Linked DNA regions of Rattus norvegicus. The protein of the gene in region 4 purifies or fractionates together with the protein of the main gene of each other region. This does not show direct contact. Links are inferred from orthologs where the notes say so. Each region holds a gene or a part of one and is shown on either strand. Other genes may lie near its edges. The genes, in order: Msl3, Wdr5, Kansl1, Kat8, Phf20l1 and Phf20.

The links.
Region 1: the proteins of Kat8 (region 4) and Msl3 purify together in Homo sapiens (affinity purification with mass spectrometry; 4 studies listed by BioGRID and IntAct, with this or other methods). This does not show direct contact. The link is inferred for Rattus norvegicus from reciprocal best matches to the Homo sapiens genes KAT8 and MSL3.
Region 2: the proteins of Kat8 (region 4) and Wdr5 purify together in Homo sapiens (affinity purification with mass spectrometry; 5 studies listed by BioGRID and IntAct, with this or other methods). This does not show direct contact. The link is inferred for Rattus norvegicus from reciprocal best matches to the Homo sapiens genes KAT8 and WDR5.
Region 3: the proteins of Kat8 (region 4) and Kansl1 purify together in Homo sapiens (affinity purification with western blotting; 4 studies listed by BioGRID and IntAct, with this or other methods). This does not show direct contact. The link is inferred for Rattus norvegicus from reciprocal best matches to the Homo sapiens genes KAT8 and KANSL1.
Region 5: the proteins of Kat8 (region 4) and Phf20l1 purify together in Homo sapiens (affinity purification with mass spectrometry; 3 studies listed by BioGRID and IntAct, with this or other methods). This does not show direct contact. The link is inferred for Rattus norvegicus from reciprocal best matches to the Homo sapiens genes KAT8 and PHF20L1.
Region 6: the proteins of Kat8 (region 4) and Phf20 purify together in Homo sapiens (affinity purification with mass spectrometry; 3 studies listed by BioGRID and IntAct, counting the BioPlex papers as one, with this or other methods). This does not show direct contact. The link is inferred for Rattus norvegicus from reciprocal best matches to the Homo sapiens genes KAT8 and PHF20.

Annotation. Positions count from the first base shown.
Region 1 is NC_086039.1:29,216,964-29,220,463, forward strand, and holds part of Msl3 (male-specific lethal 3 homolog), read left to right. Parts: intron 1-415; coding exon 416-574; intron 575-1,279; exon of another isoform or gene 1,280-1,393; intron 1,394-2,469; coding exon 2,470-2,732; intron 2,733-3,500. UniProt on the Homo sapiens protein: Non-catalytic component of the MSL histone acetyltransferase complex, a multiprotein complex that mediates the majority of histone H4 acetylation at 'Lys-16' (H4K16ac), an epigenetic mark that prevents chromatin compaction.
Region 2 is NC_086021.1:31,234,311-31,238,545, forward strand, and holds the start of Wdr5 (WD repeat-containing protein 5), read left to right. Parts: upstream 1-1,435; 5' UTR 1,436-1,716; intron 1,717-4,235.
Region 3 is NC_086028.1:89,865,821-89,869,989, forward strand, and holds the start of Kansl1 (KAT8 regulatory NSL complex subunit 1), read right to left. Parts: upstream 2,801-4,169; 5' UTR 2,775-2,800; intron 1,600-2,774; exon of another isoform or gene 1,090-1,599; 5' UTR 975-1,089; intron 1-974. UniProt on the Homo sapiens protein: Non-catalytic component of the NSL histone acetyltransferase complex, a multiprotein complex that mediates histone H4 acetylation at 'Lys-5'- and 'Lys-8' (H4K5ac and H4K8ac) at transcription start sites and promotes transcription initiation.
Region 4 is NC_086019.1:191,953,420-191,957,626, reverse strand, and holds the start of Kat8 (histone acetyltransferase KAT8), read right to left. Parts: upstream 2,801-4,207; 5' UTR 2,796-2,800; coding exon 2,585-2,795; intron 2,507-2,584; exon of another isoform or gene 2,370-2,506; intron 704-2,369; coding exon 629-703; intron 553-628; coding exon 377-552; intron 1-376.
Region 5 is NC_086025.1:100,254,139-100,257,638, forward strand, and holds part of Phf20l1 (PHD finger protein 20-like protein 1), read left to right. Parts: intron 1-29; coding exon 30-218; intron 219-450; coding exon 451-660; intron 661-3,500.
Region 6 is NC_086021.1:165,260,837-165,264,336, forward strand, and holds part of Phf20 (PHD finger protein 20), read left to right. Parts: intron 1-86; coding exon 87-265; intron 266-2,694; coding exon 2,695-2,794; intron 2,795-3,500. UniProt on the Homo sapiens protein: Methyllysine-binding protein, component of the MOF histone acetyltransferase protein complex.

The DNA.
Region 1 (3,500 bases), on a different chromosome or scaffold from region 4:
GATATGGATACATTTAAGGTATTAGCATACTGTCTGCTGTCTATATTATGGTCTATATTCCCCTATTTCTTTATTATTCTCATTGATATATTATGTTTATTCTTTTTATATATAAGTTGTTATCTAATGTTTTAAAAGTCTGCCCTCAGCTGGATAGCACCCACCTTTAATCCCAGCACTCAAGGAAGCAGAGGCAGATGAATCTCTGTGAGTTTGGCTTCACCCTAGTCTGCATAGAGAGGTCTATACCAGCCAGAGCTATATAGTAAGACCCTATCTCTAGAATAAAATAATAAAATAAGAATAAAGATAAGTCCGCTCTCTTTAAAATATATACCTTTCTCATGAAGTTTGAAAATTTTTATGACTTTACCTGGTCTCTAGTCTCTAATCATTTCTTTCTCAATCTTCCTAGTGTTGACCTTTGTAAGGAGATGGTGGATGGATTACGAATAACTTTTGATTATACTCTCCCATTGGTTTTGCTTTATCCATATGAACAAACTCAATATAAAAGGGTGACATCGTCAAAATTCTTTCTTCCTATTAAGGAAAGTACCACGACAACTAATAGGTAAGTTAACACTGAGCCGACTCGCTTCTTTGTGGAAGTGTTTGATCTGCTGACATGGTGGCCTGAATGTCTAAAGGAAAGGAAACATTGTAGGTTGTCCTTACTGGTGCCTCCCCCAACACCCCCACGTCTCCTGCCCTCATTGGCTAGATCATCATTCACATTCTCATGGTTGTGAAAGGTTTTCCCCCAAGTAAGCATTCCAGTGTAGCCAGGCATGATGACACGTGCCATTCTAGCATCAAAGAGGCTGAGGAAGGAGGACTGCTGTGAATTTGAGGCCAGGTGGTCTCCTGAGAGAGTTCTAGTCTAGCCATGACTACTTAGCAAGAGAAGGGTAGGTGGGCAGAAGATTCCTAAGTCAATACAATGTTATCAATGGATTCCGAGCAGCTGTCCCACCTTTCAGAAGACAGTAAAGAGTTACCAGGCAACATGGGCCAGAAGGGTAGAAAGTGGAAGTACAGCTGACATCCATTGCTTAATGTTATGTGATCCGGGTCAGCTTCCTCTGAGCCTCTCCCCTTTATATCCATAGTATGCAATGAACGGCTGGCTATCTCCCTGGTGGGGTAGCAATTCATGATGTCATAAACAAGGGGTCAGTAACCTTTGGCTCTCAGTATAGGTTAGTTCCCTACTTAGCTTTTATTACTGCCTTGCTTCCTCCTGTGCCTATGCATGCTTTGTTCTCTGTTCTGGCAGGGGCTGCAAGGATGGATCCATGCTCACCTAAAGTCTTTTCCCTTAATTTTACTAAGGCATTCGGCCATGTCCTCTCTCTTCTGTTCCGGAATGGTGTGCATCAAGTCTCCCTTGGTGAGGGAATGAGTGTAACTGGGCTAGTTACAGGAACATGCGCTACTTACAGGTAGCCACACTGCTGAAGAAGAGCTGGCAGGCATTAACGATTTAAGTGTACTCATAAGGGGGTGTGGCTCTCATGTGTCTTAGGAGCCCTGCCACTTTTCACAGGCAATGTTAGTGGTTATGAGGATCTTATGTGGGTCATCACAGCTGCTCCCAATCCAAGATGTCAGTGGTCATATCATGGCCAGAGGACCAAGTTTTCCAGCATTAATAGCAGCATCCCTCTATGTTAAACCAGCATCTGCTCGTATCTACTGCTCTTTCACTAGACTCTACCTCCTTTGTCACAAATAACTGTCTGTGCCCTGCATTAGCTGCCTTCCTTCTTCCTCTCCTTTTCATGGTTCTCTGCCTCTTTACCATCTCTTTGACAGCTTCTCTCTCTCCTCCCTTCTCCGTGTCACTTTCGCCCCAGGTAAGAGGTCAGCAAGACTCACTGGGCACTTGTGTCAAAGTCCCCATGAATGGCTTGCTTCATACTTGCTGATTCCCAGAGTCTGGCATAGACTTAGACATACTTGTGCCATTCTCAAATCCTGGCAGGTTTTACATTTTGAAGACATCGTGTGGTTGTCTTTTTCCCTAGACCAGAGAGTTTCTCTGTCCTGGGAGCCTGTCCAGTGTGGCATTGAACACTTAGCAGTGTGTCTGGTCTCTATCCACTAGGGAACAGCATATCTGCCTTCAGTTGTAACAGGCCATCACCAGGCTGGCACTATAGACAGCAAACATTAGCAACTGCTTTCTGGGATGGGGCCAAATTCTGCCTTTCCTCTTAGAGACCTTGTTCCGAAACATATAGAAGAGGATATTTCAGTCTCTGTCTGAAAGTAGCATGCTTTGCAAAGATATGGTAACCTCATATATTTATCGACTGCTTAAGAAAATGTGTGTTTGCATATATTTGGAGATACCCGTGAGTCACCTCCTCCCTTCCAAGTTGATTGGTGGACCTGACTTTAGGTGGCTTTGCAGAAGCCCTCAGATCTTTAGAGGCTGCCAGTGACACTTTCTTTCCTGCCCAGGAGTCAGGAGGAGCTGTCTCCTAGCCCACCTTTGTTGAATCCATCCACACCACAGTCTACAGAGAGTCAGCCACCTACTGGTGAACCAGCCACCCCCAAGAGGCGCAAAGCAGAGCCAGAGGCACTGCAGTCTCTCAGGAGGTCCACGCGGCACAGCACCAACTGTGACAGGCTGTCTGAAAGCAGCTCGTCACCTCAGCCGAAGCGCAGGCAACAGGACACATCCACCAGCATGCCGAAGCTGTTTCTGCACTTGGAAAAGAGTGAGTTTGTCCTAAGAGCCCCAGGCCAGGGAAAGGTGTTTTTTTCGTTTGTTGTTAGCCTCTCAAGTATGTATAAAGTGTGCGATTCTCCAGATCTCACACAGGTTGCTATAAAGCTACTTCCTTTGAAAAGGAAAACATCCACAGAAAGCTACTGGCTTGGGTGGTTCAGTGAGAACTAGGGAGGCCAGACTGGGCTCTGTGTTTAAGGTTGATTTGTTATCCTTCCTCTTTGCTACTTTTGTGAGCTGGTGTAGTTATAGGAATCCCATGTTTTCTATACTCATTCAAGATGAATTGTGCTAATAGATTGCTACATTTCCATTCCTGTTTTCAAAACTTTCCTTGAAGAATTCCGTTTGAATAAAATGTTCAAATGAGATTGCTGGTTTCGACGGAGTATGCTAGAAAATTCCCTATTTGAAGTGATTTTTAGTATAGTTAGAACTGTACAGCTGTCTTCACAATCAGTTCATATAGTCTCATCACAGAATGAAAGAAAGCTTTCCTACCTTCATCCGCCCTTCCCCACCTCCCTTGGAAACTACCAGTCTACTTGGCACTTTAGATTAGTCAGTTTGAGATATTTTATAGTAATGGAATAATGTTTCATGTATATACACAATGGATGAGGTGATAGAATGAGGTTTAATTAAGGCATAAAACACTTGTTAAAAACAAATTTGAAAGATGAAATATTTCCCTGACTCCCACTCCAGCCCCTGGTACATTTTTCTTGACATTATTTATTTAGGTAAAAATCACATG
Region 2 (4,235 bases), on a different chromosome or scaffold from region 4:
TAAAATGGAGCTTCAGAGCCATATGGAAGCTCAATTGTAGTGGATGCTGCGGCTGCCTGGAATGTGAGCGATGGACACCTACACTAAAGAACAAACTGCCTGGTTCCAGATGCATGCATAGGCTGGGGAGGACTCGGAGCCCCTGTGTTAGTGACACTTGCCTTTCCTGTCCACAGTTTTGTTTGTCTTCTAAGTCAGGTAGCTCCTCTCTTGTTAGCATGCAAGCTCCCTTCTTTCCTGCCTTCCCTGGACACGCAGGGGAGCTTTTCCTGCGGCGATAGTTCCTAAGATCTTTTTCTGAGTGTGGGGGTGCACAGCAGAGTCTCTTTGTGGCCCAGCTTAGAAGAGAGGCAAGTATGTTCAATTTGAGCTGTGGTTTGCAGTGGCAGGAAGCCCCCGCCCTGCGGTAGGCAGGGGAGACCGCAGGCGCTCCGGACTTCCGGACCTCGTGGACGTCCACCAGTGGCACCAAGAGGGTTTCCTAGAGTCCAGGGCAGGCACAGGCCACGACAGGCAAGCTGCTATTAGCTTGGCGACATAGCCTGGAATTTAACAGGAAAGGCACATAAGCACATTTTTACCCATCTTTAACTGCAGAGAGTTCCGGTCTGCAGGCACTGAAAATTAGTGGCGGTCAAATAGGAAGCAAGAATCATAGGTGGGCCCTTTAAGGCGCTCCGTCTCCTCTAATTTTTCTGACCCTCGTCGCCGCCCGTTGCCCCGCCCCCTCGCGCACGCGCAATCCCTCCCGCCTCCCGCGCCGCGGCCGACTGGTCCACCAGATCGTCTGCTCTCGCGCGCAGGGCCAGCCGAGGCGACGCCAGAGCGCCCGGCCCCGCCGCCCCGGCCCCGGCAGGTAAGGGAGTGACCCGGTCCTGCGGGCGCGAGGGGGGCGGCGACCACGAGGGCCCACGGGCTTCGGGATCCACAGCGCCGCACGTGTTCCGTGGGCCTCCGGCCGGGCCCGGCGCCGCATTTGTGGCCGCGCCCCGACCCCGCCGCCCCTTGTGGCCGCCACGGCTCGCTACTTCCACTGCGGCCCCTGCTGCGCCCCTAGACCCGTAGCCCTGCGAGCTCCTCGTGGCTCACACCTCAGGCTGGCGTCCCTGGGAGTGGGGACACCCAGCTAGCATCTCTCAGGTTTCCTTGGCCACTTGGCGCTTTCGTGCTGCCACCACAACCTTCACCCGTGTCCTAGTGCAAGTTTCTACCTGACGAGGGCTGACTGGTCAAGTGGGTTTTGAGCACTGTCTGGGTCAGCCAGGCAGTTGAGAGTACAGTGGTGTGAAGCCAATGGTACTAGGACCTAGGGGTATCCAGTAGTCCAGAGAGGATGGGTTGGAGCTCTTTGTTGGGTTACCTACTGCACTCACCTGAGTGACTGGACCATTCTGTCTTCCCATACTTGTGTACTCAGTGTCTAAGGCGGAAACAAGGAATCTGCATTTGATTGGAGGGAGACTGATGGCTGCTGCCCTTCCATGATCACGTTCCCTGTAGTGTAAAGCTGCGGTTGCCAGTTAACTGCCTCCTTTGTGGGCCGTGGAGGCCAGCTCCAAACCACCTGCTGAGGATCCTGCTTAACACACCTCCCTCCCAGAGCTGTCCTCTTCAAGTCCTGCTTTCCGGTGACCTTAAAACAGAACACCTGAGTGCTCTCTGTCTTGGACTCTACCCAGTGGAATTGGAAATTGGTTTCCTTTGAGACGGTTTCAGGTTGGTGCTGGCTTCACATTTAACTATGAATTCCCGAACCTCCTGAATGCTGCGAGGTAGATTGGCTAATGCTAATGTTCTTTCTTTTCTTTTTCCTTTTTTTTTTTTTTTTTTTTTTTTTTTTGGTTGGTTGTTTGGGGCTGTGAACTTATTAGAGCTGGGATCAAAGTGTGGTGCACACCCAGTGTCTTCATATGTTAATATTTGGCTTCCTGAAAGAATCAGTTTATAAAGGGTGGGATGGGATGGGCAGGGTTGGGTATCCTCGTGCTTGTTTTGCAAGGCCATTCACCCGAGGCTAGGTGAATCTCTTTATATGCTAAAAGACACTGCTTAGTTCCTCGAGACTTCCTACCCCAGAGATCTGCCCTGCTCCCTTGGCCTTTTATTTCCCTGAAGCAGGGAGATGTGGTAGGACTTTCTATCTCATTACTTAACATCTTCTCAGCTCCTCTTGCTACCTGTATGATCCACAAACATGTTGGCTCTGGGAACTCATGGCCATATAGTTGCGTTAAGCAGCTTCAGGTCAGGCCTGGGAGTTGATTTATGCCTGTTACACCAACCATACTGCGGCTATTGAGGCAGGATTTTGAATACTGGTGCATAGCAAGACCCTGTCTCCAAAAAGCTAAAAACACCAAGCAGCTGGTATTTCCTGGGCACAAGAGCTTTGCTTTGTGGAGGGACCCAGGCAGGGGACCTACCCCTAGTTGGATCCTTGCACCTGGGCTTGAGCTACAGCAGAATTTGACCTTGGTGGAGCAGGCTACACCTGTGCCCTGTGTGGTGGGTGTTACTGTTCCTTCCTAGGATTGAAGACTGAGGCTTTGGTCTCTTTTGGTGTTGTCTCCTCTTAGTCTCCCGTGGGGTCTGTGTGAGGTGTCAGGTTTAGTCTCAAAGCTAGGCTGTGCATCGTGATTTCTCCTTACACTGATGGCTGAGGGATCATGATGGCCAGTGATGTTTGCATGTCTTAGGAGCGCTCCATTGGAGGAGCACTAACTCACTTCCCAGTCACGGGATGGCCTGTAAACTGTAGGAAGTTGTTGCAGTTGCACTGCTGAAGGGAGTAACTGCTTTCCCTCAGCTCTGCAGCTTCTTCTGGTGCAGTTTCTCTGATGTTCTTCCTGCTACTCCTCCTGGGAGGTTTCATATGGGGGCGGTGTCTACTTTGCTGTACTCTTTCTTGTAGCTCTTTTTATAGTACTCTGTGCAAGAGTCCTTGAGCTCTGTACGCTCTTAGCATTGTAGAAGGCAGTTTGCAGCCTGTGAGGTCAAAGGGAGCCGAGGTGGAGGCCACCAGGTACAGACAAGACTCCTGTGTTTCCTCAAATTCTTTGGGTGTATTTTAGAATTTGCCTGAGTTTCCAAACTTCTGCACAGAAGGTCTACTCTTGTCACTTGGTCTGTTGTTTCTGTTAGAAAGCCTTTTAAAAACTGTATCAAAAGGCCCTGGGTTCGGTCCCCAGCTCCGAAAGAATAGAAAAAAAAAAAAAACTGTATCAAGGAATCTTTGAAGCAGAGCTCACATTCCGGTACACATCTGTATACTGCAGTGGGAAGCCTTCTTGAAGCTTAAGTCTTAGGCTCACAGAAGGTTCAAGAGTAGACCATCCATCACACAGAGCACCTGAAGCTGCAGCCTCGGTACAGTTATCCCCAGCTTGGAGCAGTTTATTTGTTGTAGGGTTCAGTGCTGCGGTCATGTTCTCCTTTTTACCCATTTTCTTGGGAATATTTTTATTTTTATTTTGTTTGAGTACAGTGTAGCTGTCTTCAGACACACAGAAGAGGGCATCAGATCTCATTATAGATGTGGTTGCTGGGACTTGTACTCAGGACCTTTGGAAGAGCAGTCAGTGCTCTTAACTACTGAGCCATCCCTCCAGCCCTAGAGTCACTGTTTTTTTGTGGGGGGGTGAGGTGGTCTTATGCATGTTAGGTGAACACTCTTCTATGAACAGCTCAGTCCCAAGAACCTTTTTGTTGTTTTGAGACAGGATTTCTTCTGTGTAGCCCTGACTGTCCTGGAGTTCACGCTTTTTTTTTTTTTTTTTTTAATATTCCTTCCTCTCTTATCTTTTTATAAAACACAGCACAGAGTATGCCTTTTTTGTGCGTGTGTTTTATAAAAATAAGGAGAGAAGGAATATGTTTGGTGGAGGAGAGATATGGTGTGAGGGAATGGTGTGGGGGGAGGGGGTGCCTCTGCAGGCTCATGCGGAGACATTCCTTCCCCTGAGGGACCAGCCACACAACAGTCAACAGTATATTGTAGAGTTTATTCAGGGCATGGGAGGGGAGTTGAGAGGGTAGCAGAGACCGAGAAAGGCAGAGATAGAGTTGAGGGATGCCAGCCATGAGCACATGGAGAGAGAAGGGTGAGGGGAATGGGGAGAGAGGAGTAAGGAGGGAGAGCAAGAGAGTGGAGTTCACTCTTTAGACTAGGCTAGCTTCAAACTTGTAGATACACCTTCCTCTGCCTCCCGAGTACTGGAATTAAAGGTGTGTACCAC
Region 3 (4,169 bases), on a different chromosome or scaffold from region 4:
CTAAAGATTTCCCAAAAGTCCAAATGTTTAGGTTATTCAGACTGCACTAGGGCTCTCCCACTGCACTATGCTGGAATCCCAGCTACACCAGTATCTAACTATCAGGGAAGGAGAGGCTGACAGACTTCACTGTTGATCTTGCCTTGGTCCTTTCTCTCATCTCCTCACTTTTCACAGCTCAGTCCTACTAGAGAGTTCTTTTGCCATCTCTGAACAGAAAGAGCCACAAGAGACTTAAAGAACTATCTTTTTATCAAATGGTCACATGTCCACATTGCCCAAATGAGGCGTATCTTGCACACCCTGGAAAAGGAAAGGGCACAATGGCCACCTGTTGAAAAAAAAGTGTAAGGACTCACACATTGGCCTGAGGAGCAGCAGGGCATTTGAAGAATAAACACATATACTGCGTGAAATGTCAGAGCAATCAAATGGTTAATGACACATCTTTTGTAACACATGAATCAGCTACTGATTTGCAAAAGTGGGACACGCCCAAGTTCATATGACTCTGAAGTACCAGTTTGAAAATGGACCTCAAGGTCTGAATTGGCAACACATCTACCAGGTGGAACATAATTTCACAAGATGTAAGCTATAATAAGTAAAAACTGGAACCCATCCTTATAGAGTTAATTTAAGAACTTCACTAATGTCTGAACAGCAGCAATCAAGAACAGCAATAACAAATCCTAAGAACCTAATGGTTCTAAGGATGGGTATCCTGAAGAGCCACAGGTTCAAGAACATTCTAGGTAGATCTAGACCTAGTAGCAAACACCTATAATCCTAGCATTTGGAACGTAGAGGCAGCAAATACATGAAGTTAAGGCCATGCTCAGCAAACTACAAAGTTCCAGAGCAGCCTGGACTCTGAAACCCTGACTCAAAACACACGGGAACAAGTATTCTTGATTCTAAAATACATATATGAAATAACAAAATAAAAATAACGAAAAGCAAATATATCTTACCTTAAGAGGCATCCAAATAGCATACATAGTGTCAGGAATAGTTCAGACAACTCAGAAATAAGCAGGAAGAGACTAAGTAATTCCCCAGTTACCACGGATAAGGAATTAAGGAGATCTGAAAAGGAAGAATTTTTTTCACTTAGATGGAAAAAATAGCATATGTAAATAGCTTAATCTATCTGGGAAAGGCATTCAATACTAGTTGCTTAAAAAGTGTACAAGTGCTGGGCGTGGTGCACTTTAGTCCTAGCACTCAGAGGAGACTGAAGCAGGCTGTTATCTACCAGTTCAACACCAGCCTGGTAGACACAGTGAGTTCTGGGCCAGGTGAGAGCTACTTATTGAGATGGTCTCAAAACCCCCCAAGAAGGAAAAAGATACAATATAAAATTCCCTTTGTAAAGGGCATATGTTTATCTCTGTGTGTGTGTGTAGAAATATATTTTATATCAAAGAACAACGTAAATCTTAAGTAACTGAAAATTACTTATCAAAGGTTCAGAAAACTAAAATCCTAAAGGAAAAGTTATTACTACCAGAGTATTTCATAAACACTACTGAAAATAATTTATTAACTATCTAAAAAGATGTACAACTATTTTATTTGGTAAACAAACAAAAAAAAAAAAACTTCTGACAATTCCAGTTTTTAACTTTTCTTAAAATTGTTTCAGAGCTGAAACTACATTAAAAAAGTAAGTAGCATCTATTCCTCACCGAAGTACAAGCAAAAAAGAAAAGACCATTCTTTTCCAGAGATTTTTAAAAGCAGACCAGAGGAATTAATTTTGAAGATGGAGGGTGTTAAGTTTGCAGGGACTCAGAAGAATGGACTAAATGACTCCTTCTAGGAGCCTATGTCCTAGGCCTGAATGAAAATTCCAGCTTAACCAGTTACTGCTTCACTTAAAATGGAGGCTTGCCCGAGTAGGAACACAAAAATAACACACTCACCTCTTTAAAAATAATTTCTTAAAATCAGAGTCGATGTCCCCGTTTTAAAAATAAAGCTCTGGAGTGGGTTTGCTGTCTCCACGTTTGTCACTTCGGTTAGGGACACTTGGCATCACTTTGCCTAGCGCTCATTGGATTTTGGGGGGTGGGGACGGGAGTTTGACTCTTGACCCGACTCTCAGGCGAGCCTGGGCACCCCCACACACTACCCCGCGACGCGACCCCAGCTCTACAGGACCCCAGCTCTACAGGACCGCGGGGCCGAGATCCCAGCGAGCTCGAGTCCGCGCCCCTCCCCCGCCTCGGACCCTCGTCCGGGAGCCTCTCCCATCCCCCGCGGCCCACGACTCCTCCGGCCCGGTCCCCATTGTTAGGAGGGGGGCGGCCGTGGCTGGGGCTCGCGGCCCGGGGCCCGTGGCTGTTGACCGACTCGCCTCAGGAGGGGGCGGCCCGCGGGATGCCGCTTCCCGTCCTGCCACGGTCCGTCCCACCTCGCTCGGCCTGGCGCCCCCGGCTGTGCTCGGTGCCCCCCTCCCGGGCCCTGTGGCCACTCGTCGCCCGGCACGCCGCGGTCCACGGCCGGAGGCCGAGGCCTTGAGGGTGGGCGCCGGCCGAGGGTCCCCGCGCCCCACACACGCGTCCCCGCGTCCTCAGACCGGCCGCCTTCAGGGCCCTCCGCGGCGCCGGCTCCCGCGACCCCTCAACCTCCCGCCGCCCCGCGACGGCGCCCCCCACGGCGTCCTCCGGCCCAGACACGCCACCCTGCACCACCATCACCCCGACCCGCCGCGCCCCCACCCCCCGGGGCAGCAGTGCCAACGGCAGCTCCCCCGGCCCCAGACCTACCTGCACGGCTCAACCAAGCCTAGAGTGGGGGGCGGGCAAGCTTCCGCCCTCCTCTGTCTCCCATTGGCCCGCCGAGGGCAATTCGCGAGCACCATTGGCTAAGAGTGGACGTCCGTCAGAGCTATGGGGCGGGATGGGGAGGGGGGGAGAGATGCTGGTGCCTTGGCGTCTCTGTCTCTGTATCTCTCTGTCTCTGTCTCGGCCCTAGGAAAGGAGAGGCTTGAGCTGGACGGAGCTGGAGGGCGGCCTGGTGGGAGAAATAAGAATAGGAATCCCTACAGTGCTTCACAGCAGTCCACCACTCAACCCCTGGCCTCAGTCCCTCAGGTCCCCTTCTCTGTCACCCCCAACCCCTGCCCCTCACCTCACCCTTCCAGGTTCTTCATCCAGGAAGCGATGTGATGAGAACCCGGCCCGGAAGGCCATAGGGAGAGATTTTGTATATGTACATAAAATATACACATATATAAATGTTTGTTTTTAAAGTCAACCAGATTTGAGGTCCTGAGGGCCTGGAAAGGCCATACATCTCACAGACCAGGAAGGAATTGAGAGAAAGCTGAGTCAAAAATCACTCTCAGAGGTGTTAACAGTGGTTGCCTCCTGGATGACATGGAGTTCTCAGCAGACCAAGGAAGAGGAATACTTAATCTCTCAGGCACATCCTTTGTAGATACTGATTTTTGTGCCATCCACAAACATTACAGCTAAAATAATATTAATTATCATAGCATGATCCATATGCTTGTGATTATAGCACAAGAAACTCATGCAGAAAATTATTAAGTGCAAAAGCCAGCCTGGGCTACAAAGAGACTATTTCAAAAAAAAAAAAAAAAGAAAGAAAAGAAAAAATATTTTGAATCCAAATATTTTGAAACAAAATGGTTATCTAAGAAAACCAGGACAGCATTCACATGTACTGGGGAGTCTTACCTTTTAGTTTGTTTTAAATACCAGTAATAAGTGTGTTCTGAGGAATTCCAAAACACTGGGGAGACTAAACAATCCACAAATGAGGAGTCAACATACTGAACGATCAACTTTCTCAAATCGGAAAACAAAACAAAACAAAACAAAAAACCAGCTAAAATAATGGCAAAACAGCACGAAGGCAGAGGAGCAAGAATACTAAAACTATGAGAGATCCTTAGGTCTTGAGGCTACACTTAGAGAACTGTTTTTAGGCCATAGTAGACATGTGACAGTAAGAACTAAAAAGAAAATACCCATAAGCCAGAAATCTTAACTTTTTCAGTCTTATTGACACATAAGGATTCTCCCAGAATTTTTTTCATCGTATCAAATGCATTTAGGAAACCTGAGGACACAGACCAGATTCACTGCAGAGGATCATCTGGGCTACAGAGAAGCCCCAAGAACGCTGCTTGTACT
Region 4 (4,207 bases):
CCCATGTTAACTTCTCTGAGCCTACTTCCTCATAAACAAAAAGAAGTAATTGTCCCTGTGGTGCTAAAACGTCAAGGAGGATTTGATGAGATCTTAGAATACTCAGCATTGTGCTGGATAAGAAAGTAAATGATGTGATTTGGTTTCTTTTCCTTCCCTTTGGACTTCAAGTTTGAGGTCCAGTCTTAGCTGTACCATTTCTTATTGTGAGAGAGCAACCCTCTTCTCTCTATAAGCTGGGTTTTGTATATATGAAGAATAAACAGGGACAAACACCCTAGTACTCTACCAGATTTTACGTGGGAGTTGCTATGGCTTTGTTGCTACAGGGACCCGAGAGAACTCCTGGGCCCTGGAGAAGGGAAGGGGCCAGGACCTTCTGTACATGGTTGATCTCATCATGCTTTCGTTTTTGGTTTCGAGTGATCTTGCGCTCAGGCTGCTCCGCCAGCTCACTCAGGTACTTCTCAGAATTCTTCTGCACGGCATCCTTCACTGTCTTAGTCAGAGCAAGTCGGTTCTTGTCCACCCATTCGTCCAGTCGCCTGTTAACTGTTAAGACAGACCATGAGGGACTGACGTGCTACCTTCCTCCTTCCACCCAGGTCCCATGGCCCCAAGCACTCACAGCCCACATAATGAACATAGAATTCTTCTCGGCCCTCTTGGTCATTCACTCGAGACTGGATCACTTCTGCTGAATCTGTCAAGAAAAAGAGGGGAGAGGGATTTGAGGGGCAATTTCCAGAACAATCTGTCCACATCTGCCATTTAACCTGTACAGTGAGCCAGGTTAGGACTTTTTCTTGGGGGGTGACGGTGGTGTTTACAGAGGACCAGAGATTTGAAAACTGAGAGAACCTGGTTGTTAGATGTGTTTAAGGCTACCTCCAAAGTCAGTGCTCATTTTATATGGTCATTCAGTTCTTTGGGGGACAAGAGAGCTGGCTGGGGATTAAACGATTTAAGCTTATATATAATTCTTCCTTCACATTCCCTAAATGACTGTAACCCTGTCATTTGACTTTCTGAACCTTAGTTCCTTCATCTGGAAAGTAAGAATAGTATCTACCTAAAAGGGTAAGGTAGTTTACAGTGTTCAGCATAGTGACAGATGTGGAGCAGAGCTGTCTGGAAAACAATGATTGTCCAGCGCTCTGCTATGTACTGCTGGACACAGAAAGCACACACAGTAATGAATCACAAGAGATCTTGCTCTCTAGCGTTTCCCCACGGACAGAGAAAGGCAGATAATGTTAACAGTATGGCTGAGGTATGAGAAAAAAAAAAGTGCCAGAACATACGAGCAATTAACTTTGTCTGAAGGGGTCAAGAATGGGATCACCACAGGAGATAAAGTTAAGAAATGAGTAAGAGCTAGCCAGGAAAACCTGAGAAAGGTAGTGACAGCAAGCACAAGTGATAAAAGGCACAGAAAGGCAGTCTTTGGAGAGCAGAGCAAGGCCTGGTCTGGCAAAAGCCCTTGCTAGAAGGGCCTAGAAACTGGAAAGGTCTGAGGCATGAATCAAAGTTTAAGGAGTTTAATTATGTTTTTGAGACAAGGTCTCTCTACGTAGTCCTGACTCTTCTGAAACTTGCTATACAGACCAGGATGGCCTCCAACGGAGCCTTTCCAGGGCTGGGATTAAAGGTGTATGCTACCATGACTAACATTTATTCTATCTTTTAAATCACATGCATTTATCTTACTAGGAAGTAGGGGATACTCTTATATGAATGTCCGAGAACAACCAGTAAGAATCATTGCCTCGGGCTGGAGAGATGGCTCAGTGGTTAAGAGCATCAACTGTTCTCCTGAGGTCCTGAGTTCAAATCCCAGCAACCATATGGTGGCTCACAACCATCTGTAATGAGATCTGATGCCCTCTTCTGGTGTGTCTGAAGACAGCTACAGTGTACTCATATATAATAAATAAAACTTAAAAAAAAAAAGAATCATTGTCAAATCATCAGACTTGGTGACAAATACCTTTACCTCCTGAGCCATCTGAGCTTGGAGTTTATTTACTTTTTTTTCTGGTTCTTTTTTTCGGAGCTGGGGACCGAACCCAGGGCCTTGCGCTTCCCAGGCAAGTGCTCTACCACTGAGCTAAATCCCCAACCCCTGGAGTTTATTTTGAAGACAATAGCTTGTGGTTTATTTTGAAGAGGGAAAGAAGAGGAGCATACGTAAAAGGGACACGTGTTTTTATGAACCGGGCTGTGCTCTTTGCTGGCGATGCAGTGGACAAGAGAAATGTAAAGATAAACACCACCAACAAAACACCAACGAAGAAACAAACATGGCATAAGACATGAAGCCTGAAATCGGGCAAGAATGAGTGTTCATACGCTAATGCTGTGTTCACCTTTTTGATGGCTTTACAGGAGACAAGCATAATCTCTGACTCCAGCCTCCCGTTACAGAGCAGGTTCCTCAGCACCCGGAATTCCATATTCTTACCTGAATCACCACCCTCGTCCCAAGACTCCCAACCCCCCCAACTCCGCCCCATGGAGCACCCATTCCTAGGCCCTGCCCTATCCCTAAACCCCGCCTCTAGGCCCTGGACCCCGCCCTCACGCCAGGTGCTGTCGGGCCGCCGGCACAGGTACGTTTCTCCGATCTCCACGGTGACTTCTGGTTCGCCACGCGCCGGAGTCGGCGGAGAGACCCGGCCCGGGGATCGGGCAGGCCCCTCGACCGATGTATTTTCCCCCGGACCGGGCTCTCCCTCCCCTACAATTCCTGAAGTTGTTGCAGCAACAGCGGCTGTTGCTCCCTGTGCCGCCATTGCAGTGCCGGAAGTGATTCTGGCGATCAGGCAGAGAGACGTTTTTAGTTCCGGATCAGTGGGGGCGGGCATAGTTTGAGTGTTGGAGGTGGGGAGGTTGTGACGTGGCAAGGTTTTGTTTAGTAGTGCGTACTCGGTGGGGCTGTTGTTGCTAGAAATTGGCCCAATCTGATTTCTTTTTCTTTTTGAAGACATGGTCTAATTATATAGTCTTAACTGACTTGGAACTCGCTATGTAGACCATACTGGCCTCGAGATCCACCGACCTCTGCCTTTTGAGTCCTCAAAAGTGCACCGCCTCGTCATGTCTCAATCCGCTTTTTGTAGTTTGTTGTGACGTAGTCCAGACTGCCTACAAACTTGCTGACCTAGCTTCTCCCGCTTTAGGTTCCCAAATGCTGGGATTAAAGGCGAGCACTACCATGTATTGCCTTTTCCTTTTTTTTTTTTTTTTTTTTTTTGGGAAAGGCTCTCTTCAATGGATACCCTGAAATTCATTGAATTTGTGGCAGTTTTCTGGGAATTACAGTTGTACTCAAGTACAAGTATCAAGTTTTATGGGATGCTTGGAGCCAAAACCCAGAGATTCATACATACATGCTACCTATTCTGCGTCTCTCATTTAGGGTGAGAACAAAAACCAGTTGAGACAGGGAAAGAACAGGTGTGCCAAATAAACTACCTTCAAAATAAACTTTTTTCTCAAGAATTTCATGTAGCCCCTGAAGAACTCAAACCCGAGTGTGGCCAGGGAGAACCTTGAGTGCTCATCTAACCTCCACCTTCCAAATGTTGAGGTTAGGATGTCACCATACCATGTTCACACTGCTATGGATTGCACCCGTAGCTTCATTAAGCTAGGGAAACACTACCGCTGAACATCTCCAGCCAGGGAGGGATTGAACATGGATCTTGGCAGTGCCTGGAGAATCTTTAGTGACCCTTCTCTTGAGTACAGTAGACCAATTTCCTGAGATTCGGTAAAGGTTAGACAATATATACACATGGTTAAGCCATAGATTTATATAAACTATATAACATCCAAGGTAAACTTACTGGTAGATTAATTAGAGTGACACACTCCAATTTGTTGGGGGTTTTTTGTTTGTTTTGTTTGTTTTTTGTTTTTCCGGAGCTGAGGAGCGAACCCAGGGCCTTGTGCTTGCTAGGCAAGCGCTCTACCACTGAGCTAAATCCCCAACCCCCCCCCCCCCCAATTTGCTGTTTAACTTCACCTTTCTACCAACCCCGCCACCACCACCAATAATCAGGTAAATTATTGTACTGGGGCACTAACACCATTAGAAGCCTGCCCAGTGCATATTACTTTTAGGAACTGCATCACAGGCAAACTAATCGATGAAAAGAATAAGCATTTGCTGGAAGAACTTTATACTCGTATTGAAAAATAG
Region 5 (3,500 bases), on a different chromosome or scaffold from region 4:
CTTCGTGAACATTGAAGATCTTTTTCTAGGTTCTCCACAGCCTGTGAATCCCCCTAGACCTTGCAAGCATAGTGAGAGAAGAAGAAGATCTCAGCGCTTAGCCACCTTACCCATGCCTGATGATTCTCTAGAAAAGCTTTCTTCTTCCTCTTCAGCAACTGATGGGAAAGTATTCTCCATCAGTTCTCAGAATCAGCAAGAGTCTTCAGTACCAGAAGGTAATGTATATTGATTTCCTATAGAACCAAATAACTAACATCAATTTTTCAAATATTAAGTTCTCTTTAATGTCTCTTGGCTTACAAGCACTTTGTATATGCTACAGATAACCTATCTGGTGCCTTCTTTTTGTCAGGCACTGTATAAACACCAGTGATCTGCATTGATATGAACTGAACCAGTTTCTCTGTGTTAATATTATGGTTTTCTTTTCTTTTTAATTTTATGTAGTGCCTGCTATTGCATATGTGCCGCTCCAGAAGCTGGGACCCTGTCTCCCTCTTGATTTAAGTTGTGGTTCAGAAGTCACAGGAAGTCAAGCCCCAGATTCCTCTTACCCTGGTGGTGAATGTCCCAGGGAAGAAAAGGAGGAGACACCATTGTTTGCAAATCCCACCTCCAAAGTAGTGAGTGATGTAAAAGGAGCTGCAGCAGCTACAGGTAAGGGTGCTCTTGGTTAAGTCTTGCATAGACATTTTGATATTTAACTTCCCTCAAATTCATATAAAACCCCTCATGTAAGAACTTTTAGGTACCTTTTGTGTTTGGATGGAATTTCTTTGTTTTAAAAATTTGTTGTGTGATCATTGTGAGCATTCCCTAGACATATTTCTTGTCATTTTTTTCTTCATTCTTTTTTCTCCCTCTTTCTTTCGCTTTTTAAGAAAAATTTATTTATTTTATATCCCAATATGAGCCCCCCTCTACTACTGGTACTCCCTTACACAAATCCTCCCCCACTCCTCCCTCCCCTTCTCCTCTGAAAAGGGTGAGCCCTCCTCCTCCTCAGTGTACACACACACACACACACACAGACACACACATACACACACACACATCAAGTTATGTGATTAAAGATATGCACCCTCATGCCTGGGTTCTTTTGTTTGCTTTTTTAATGTGTGTGTAAAATGTTGTATTGCTGCATCTGGAGCTAGCAAATTCTAGCTACCCAGCTTGGTCAACCTAGCAAGTTTTAGGCCAATTAGAGCTATGTAGCAAGACCCTGTCTCAAAACAGGAAATAAATTATATGAAATATATACTTGTCTTTGCTACTAGAAATTATTAGAGTTAAATACAATTCCAGAAATTCTTATTCTTGAAGCAAGAAGATACTGTATAATATTATAATTTCATAAAAATACATGTACGTAGTATATTTTAATTATCTTCTTTCTAGTAAATTGCTAATTTGGAATTGGCTAGTGAGAGATTTAAGTCAAGTTAGATTAGGAGACAAATGTAAAGTAGCCAAATGCATTAACAATAATTATGTTTAACAACATCTTCCCCAAAGAAAGTGGCATTGGCTTCTTGGATGAAACCAAAATATAGCGTACTGTGTTCTGTCTGTGGTACCCACTGAAACAATGACAGCAATAGCTTAACTTGTGCCTTTAACTTGTTCTTTCTTTCAAAGTAGCAGTGTCAGCATTTGTACATGTAATGACCAATACTTTTATTTTACCTGTAAAGATTTAAATAGGTTTATATATAATAGTTCTTTCTTATTTAGAAATAAAAAATGCCCTCAACTGAAGACCTGTGGGTTTTGAGAGATTGCTTTTTATTTCTCAGATCTGATCCATTGTGTTTGGATATTCATCTAAACCTGATCTTAGAGTAATTCAGTTTATCTTTTTTGCACAAGATTCCTGAATTATCATTGACCTTTTCAGGAAGTTTTCCTGGTAAAGGTCTCACTTTTTAACAGCCTGGAAATCCTTACTGCACTGGATATATGAGAATGATCTTGATGTCATATTAACATAATACCTATTGGGAAAATGATTTTTCAATGTGTACATGAAGATATTTATATGTTTCTGAAAAGTACATGTTTGAATTGATTATAATAAGGCTGAAATACAGACTAGTATGTCTTAAATAATGTTATGCAGGGCTGAAGAAATGGCTTATTTGATTCCCAGCAACCACATGGCAGTTCACAACCATCTGTAACCCTACTCCCAGGGGATGCAGTGCCCTCTTCTGACTTCTTATGGGTGTAATACATATATGCAGGCAAATCACACACACACAGACACACACACACACAGAGTCTCTCTCTCTCTCTCCCTCCCTCCCTCCCTCCCTCCCTCCCTCCCTCCCTCCCTCCCTCTCGTATTGTATATTCTAAACATCAAAGCAGTATTTGTATACTAAAATCCTTTGATTTATCTTCTAAATCAGGGTGTTACCTTGGTTCTGTTTTGTTTTTGTTTTTGGCTGTTTTTTTTTTCCCCTTTAAATTCCTCGCAGATTTATAACTATGGCTATGGAGGTAATTCTTGGTTTTGTTTATGATGTTGAATTATACAAGGGGAAAGAGAAGGCACAACCATTGTCAGCTTAACATTAAGAGCACAGTGCTCAGCAATTTTTGAATGTTTTTGGTTTTGCTTTTAAGGAGAAAAGATACATTTTGGCTTAGAGTTCTGGGGATGCAGTCTACCATCACAGGAAAGTCAGAATGGAGGTAGCAAGTCAGCAAACAGATGAATGGCTGTTCCTGTTCTAGTCTGCCCATTTCTCCTTCTTCTTGAATCCAGGACCAAGCCCATGGTGCTGCCCACGACTAGGCTAGGACTTCCTACCTCAGTTAGTGCAGTCTAGATAATTGCTTTAAAGAAGAAAATGCATGTTTCAAAGTTAGCTACTGAAAACTGGTGTAACATAATCATGTAGAGTACACACACAGTATTTGAATGGGATAAAGTAAGTTTTTGATTCATTTCTATGACTTGTGAATTTTCCTTTTTAAGGAAAGTGGTGTAATTCATGTTCTGTTCTTTTATTTAAAACTGTATCCATTTGTTACACATTTATTGGACTTCTATGTGGTCTGCATGCTTTTTTCTCTTAGTGTATTTCTTTTGTTGCAGTAGTTCTGTTTTGTTTCCTTGAAAAAGAAGCTCACTATGTCCATAACCCACAGAGTATGGAATATGAGTAATGTACATCAGGCTGGCTTGGAAGTCTTGGCTTTCTTTTTTAGAGTACTGAGGTTGTAGACATGTACCATCATATCTGGCTTTCTTACTATTGTTACCTAACTGTTCTTCCCTATTTTGAAGTTACTTTGTGAAGTTCTCTCTGTTTCCTATGTTGATGTGTATGTTTTGTTTTTGTTTTTGTTCTTCCTTTTATACCAGTGCAAATGAGTATGAGTATACATGCATTTGGTCGGTATTTATACTGATTATCAAAATAAATTTCATCTCTATTTTAATATTTCTTTGCAAAGCATTATTTATAAGGACTATGTTAGCAGCATTT
Region 6 (3,500 bases), on a different chromosome or scaffold from region 4:
CATGGAAGTCCCTGGACAAGTGGGGATGAAACACAATGTTACGTGTGAGTTTAGAGCACTGACTGTTGGCTTCCCTTTCCTTCCAGAGGAGGATAATTTGAGCGAGTCCTCTTCCGAGAGCTTTCTTTGGAGTGATGAGGAATACGGTCAAGATGTTGATGTGACCACCAACCCAGATGAGGAGCTTGAAGGCGACGACCGCTATGACTTTGAGGTGGTCCGATGCATCTGTGGAGTGCAGGAGGAAAATGACTTTATGATTCAGGCAAGTAGAGTTTCCAGAACACAGGTTAGAGGAAGACATGAGTGAGTCATGTGAGCAGTTCGCACAGCATTAGACTGAGCTTGCTTTTGGGTTCAGATTTCTGGGAATTCTAGGTTGCTGAAAATAACCCATTATAGAATGAGAAGTCATTGAGGCCAAAGGGAAAGCCTTGCCTGTGGTCTCACAGAGAGGAGTTGGACAACAGGGACTCAGACTGTAGAGTGGTAATTCAGTCTTCTTTATGGGCTCATCTTCTCTTTGAGATAAATTTCCCTGGTGTCCTGAGGGAAGAAATGGAGTCAGGTTTTATAATTTGTCTTCCTCTGTTATTTGGTGTGTGTGTATGTATGTGTGTGTGTATGTATGTGTGTGTATGTGAGCATGCATGTGTGCTGGCAGCAGGTGTTCCCAATGAAGGGATTTGGCAGCCTACCTACCATACATCTCTGCATAGGCTATATGTATTAGGAAGAGCAGGCTTTTTTGGCTTTTTGCTTTCCTTGTTTTATATGCATGATAACAAAATTTGAAGTTGACTTAAATTTGAAGTTGCATTTATGTCTTTTGTCCTTTTTTTTTTTTTTTAAGGGCAGAGTCTCTGTCTTAGTTACTTTTCTGTTGCTATGATAAAATATCCTCACAAAAGCAACTTAAGGGAGAAGTTACTGTAGCCCACAGTTCTAGATGGACATAGAATGGTGTGGTGGCAGGGGCATGAAGCCAGCTCCTCCTGTCTCAGTGTCGAGAAGAAGAGTGGAACTAATTCATACCTGCATGCCACACTTAGCTTACTTCTTTACTCTGGCAAGGTTTAGCATCCCCTGCCCAGGAATGGTACCACCTATAATGGGGGTCTCCCTCTCACGCTATCCAAAACAATCCTGAATAAACAGACTCATAAACTAACCTGATCTAGACAATCCCTAAATGAGAGACTCTTCACCGTGATTCTAGATTCAAGCTAATGAAACTAACCAGTCTCACTTGGCCCCATTTCTTCTCAAACATGCTGTATTTTCTGTTTTGTCTCCTAAATGCTGAGGTTACAGGCACAGGCTACCATGCTGTCTCTGCTTCCTGGGTGTAGATCTGTGTGGCTTCTTCTAGAACTTCAGACGCTTTGTTCTTTAAGCACCTTATGCATGCTTATTTTGGTGTGGAGTGAGGGCTGTGACTTCAGTTTACTGGCAGTGTGCTCACATTTTGAAATGTTGCTTGATTTACTGCCTTTCTCTGTACATTCGGGTCTCTTTCTGGATCCTCTCTTTTTCAGTGAAGCAGAGGCGGAAGAACACAACAATGCTGTGTGATTATTTTATGCCTTTGTAATAGTCTAATTCCCTGGCAGGGCTGGCCCCCTCCCTCTCATCTTTCCTCTCTGCATATATTTTCTGTCTACTAATTTTAGAGTCCTGCTTAGTTTCAGAGCTACCAACTTCCTTATTTTTGGGGGCCACAATGTTTTATAAGCCCAAGTAAAGTTAGTGTCTTCAAGGTAGTGATCCTTTCTGCTTCCTGACCCTGGCAGGTCTCCCAGGACCAGGAAAGAGGGGGTTGAGCGCAGGCTTTGCAGGAACTCTTGCACTTGGCTAAGTTCACGCTGTCTCATGTGCCATTAATCACCTGTGCAACCTTCAGCAAGTTTTAAGAATAAATGCAGAGAACTAGGGCGTGATTGCTCTAGGAGGCCAGAGGGACTTAGCTACCATCTGTTAATAATAGAAACTCAGTGTGAGGCTTTGTGCTGAGTTCATAGTGGGAGGATGTGCATATGACCCATGGATTCCTAACAGACAGCCTGTGGTGTGGGCAGGAACAGTATCGCATCTCCACTTGGGGAAACTGAGGCCTAGGGCTGAGACCTGGAACTGTGCCATGTAACACATAATGTATTCTAAGAGTTTGAACAGGTTTCATTAAGCCCCACAAAGTGATCATGAGGCTGAGCGGCAGGAATGGCAGCAATCAGTCTGAAGTCAGTACTATTCAACTGATTACATTTTTGCTCCATGTTTTGTTTTTGAGACAGGTTCTGAAGTATTCCAGGCTGGCTCTGGTCTCATTGTGTAACTGAGTCTGGCTGAGCCTATCCTCATGCCTCTGCCTTTCAGGTTCTGGGATCATAGACATATTCCACCACACTTGACCATCTAGATTCTCTTTATTGTGCTCTATTCTGTTCCAGAGACAATAGTCATACGGACACTTCTGAAATGGCTCTTGGGACTGAAGAACTAAGGACTCTTAACTTAATTTGTTCGTTATGCGTCACCCTCCATGTGATCAGTGGTGGCCTAGTTGGGTCATTGTGTAGCCATAGCTTTGTTGAGTAGAGGTCAGAAGGGAGCGCTCCCCCCATTTCCTTTCACCCACACTCCAGGTCAGTGGGCTCTACTTTCTAAGTTCTGTTGCTTCTTTAATTCTCACAGTGTGAAGAATGCCAGTGCTGGCAGCACGGGGTCTGCATGGGATTACTGGAAGAAAATGTGCCCGAGAAATACACCTGCTACGTTTGCCAAGACCCTCCAGGTAGAGCTTTCTGGAGCTGGGTTGGGAGCAGTATGTAACCTCTTCCTTAGCACAGCAACTTTCCACACACCGTGCTTGTACTCTCGGAGAATCTTCGCTAATGACCAGGTGACTCTGCTCACCTTTGTTGCAAGCCCACGTGGTGGCCTGTCCTTCTGAACGTAGCAGTAAGGGATATGTGTGAAGATGCTTACCTAGCAGAAGGCCTGGTCTTGGAATGTAGTGGGAAACACATATGGTGTTGTTAACGAGAAGCACAAAGCTTGTAGGTCTGATCAAAACTGTCCACAGTGTTGAATGCTCCACGAATTCTCCTGTCATTCTTGCTCAGGGCCTTGCCAATCTTTTGTTCCAGTTTCAGTAGTGAGAGAGTTTCTTCCTTGAGAGCTGAGGATGAGTGTGTGGCTCTGTTGGTGGCATTGCAGGGATGTCCGAGGGCACGTGTTTGCCATTGCACTCACGAGTGACTCGAGTGAATGCATCGGGTTGGAGGGTGCTGTCTCCTGAGCCTTTGGAGCAGGAAGTGCTGCCGAGTCCCTGAGCTCATGCTTCCTGTCCTTTCCAAGGAGGCTTGTGATGGGCAGGGCCCAGGAATCACCCAGGTCATCTGTTATTTGACAGATGGGAAGCAGGGTCCAGCGAAGGGAGGGCCTGTCACCTGACTAGCTGGGGCAGGCAGTACTGTTGGAAGGGGCTTGGAGCCTTA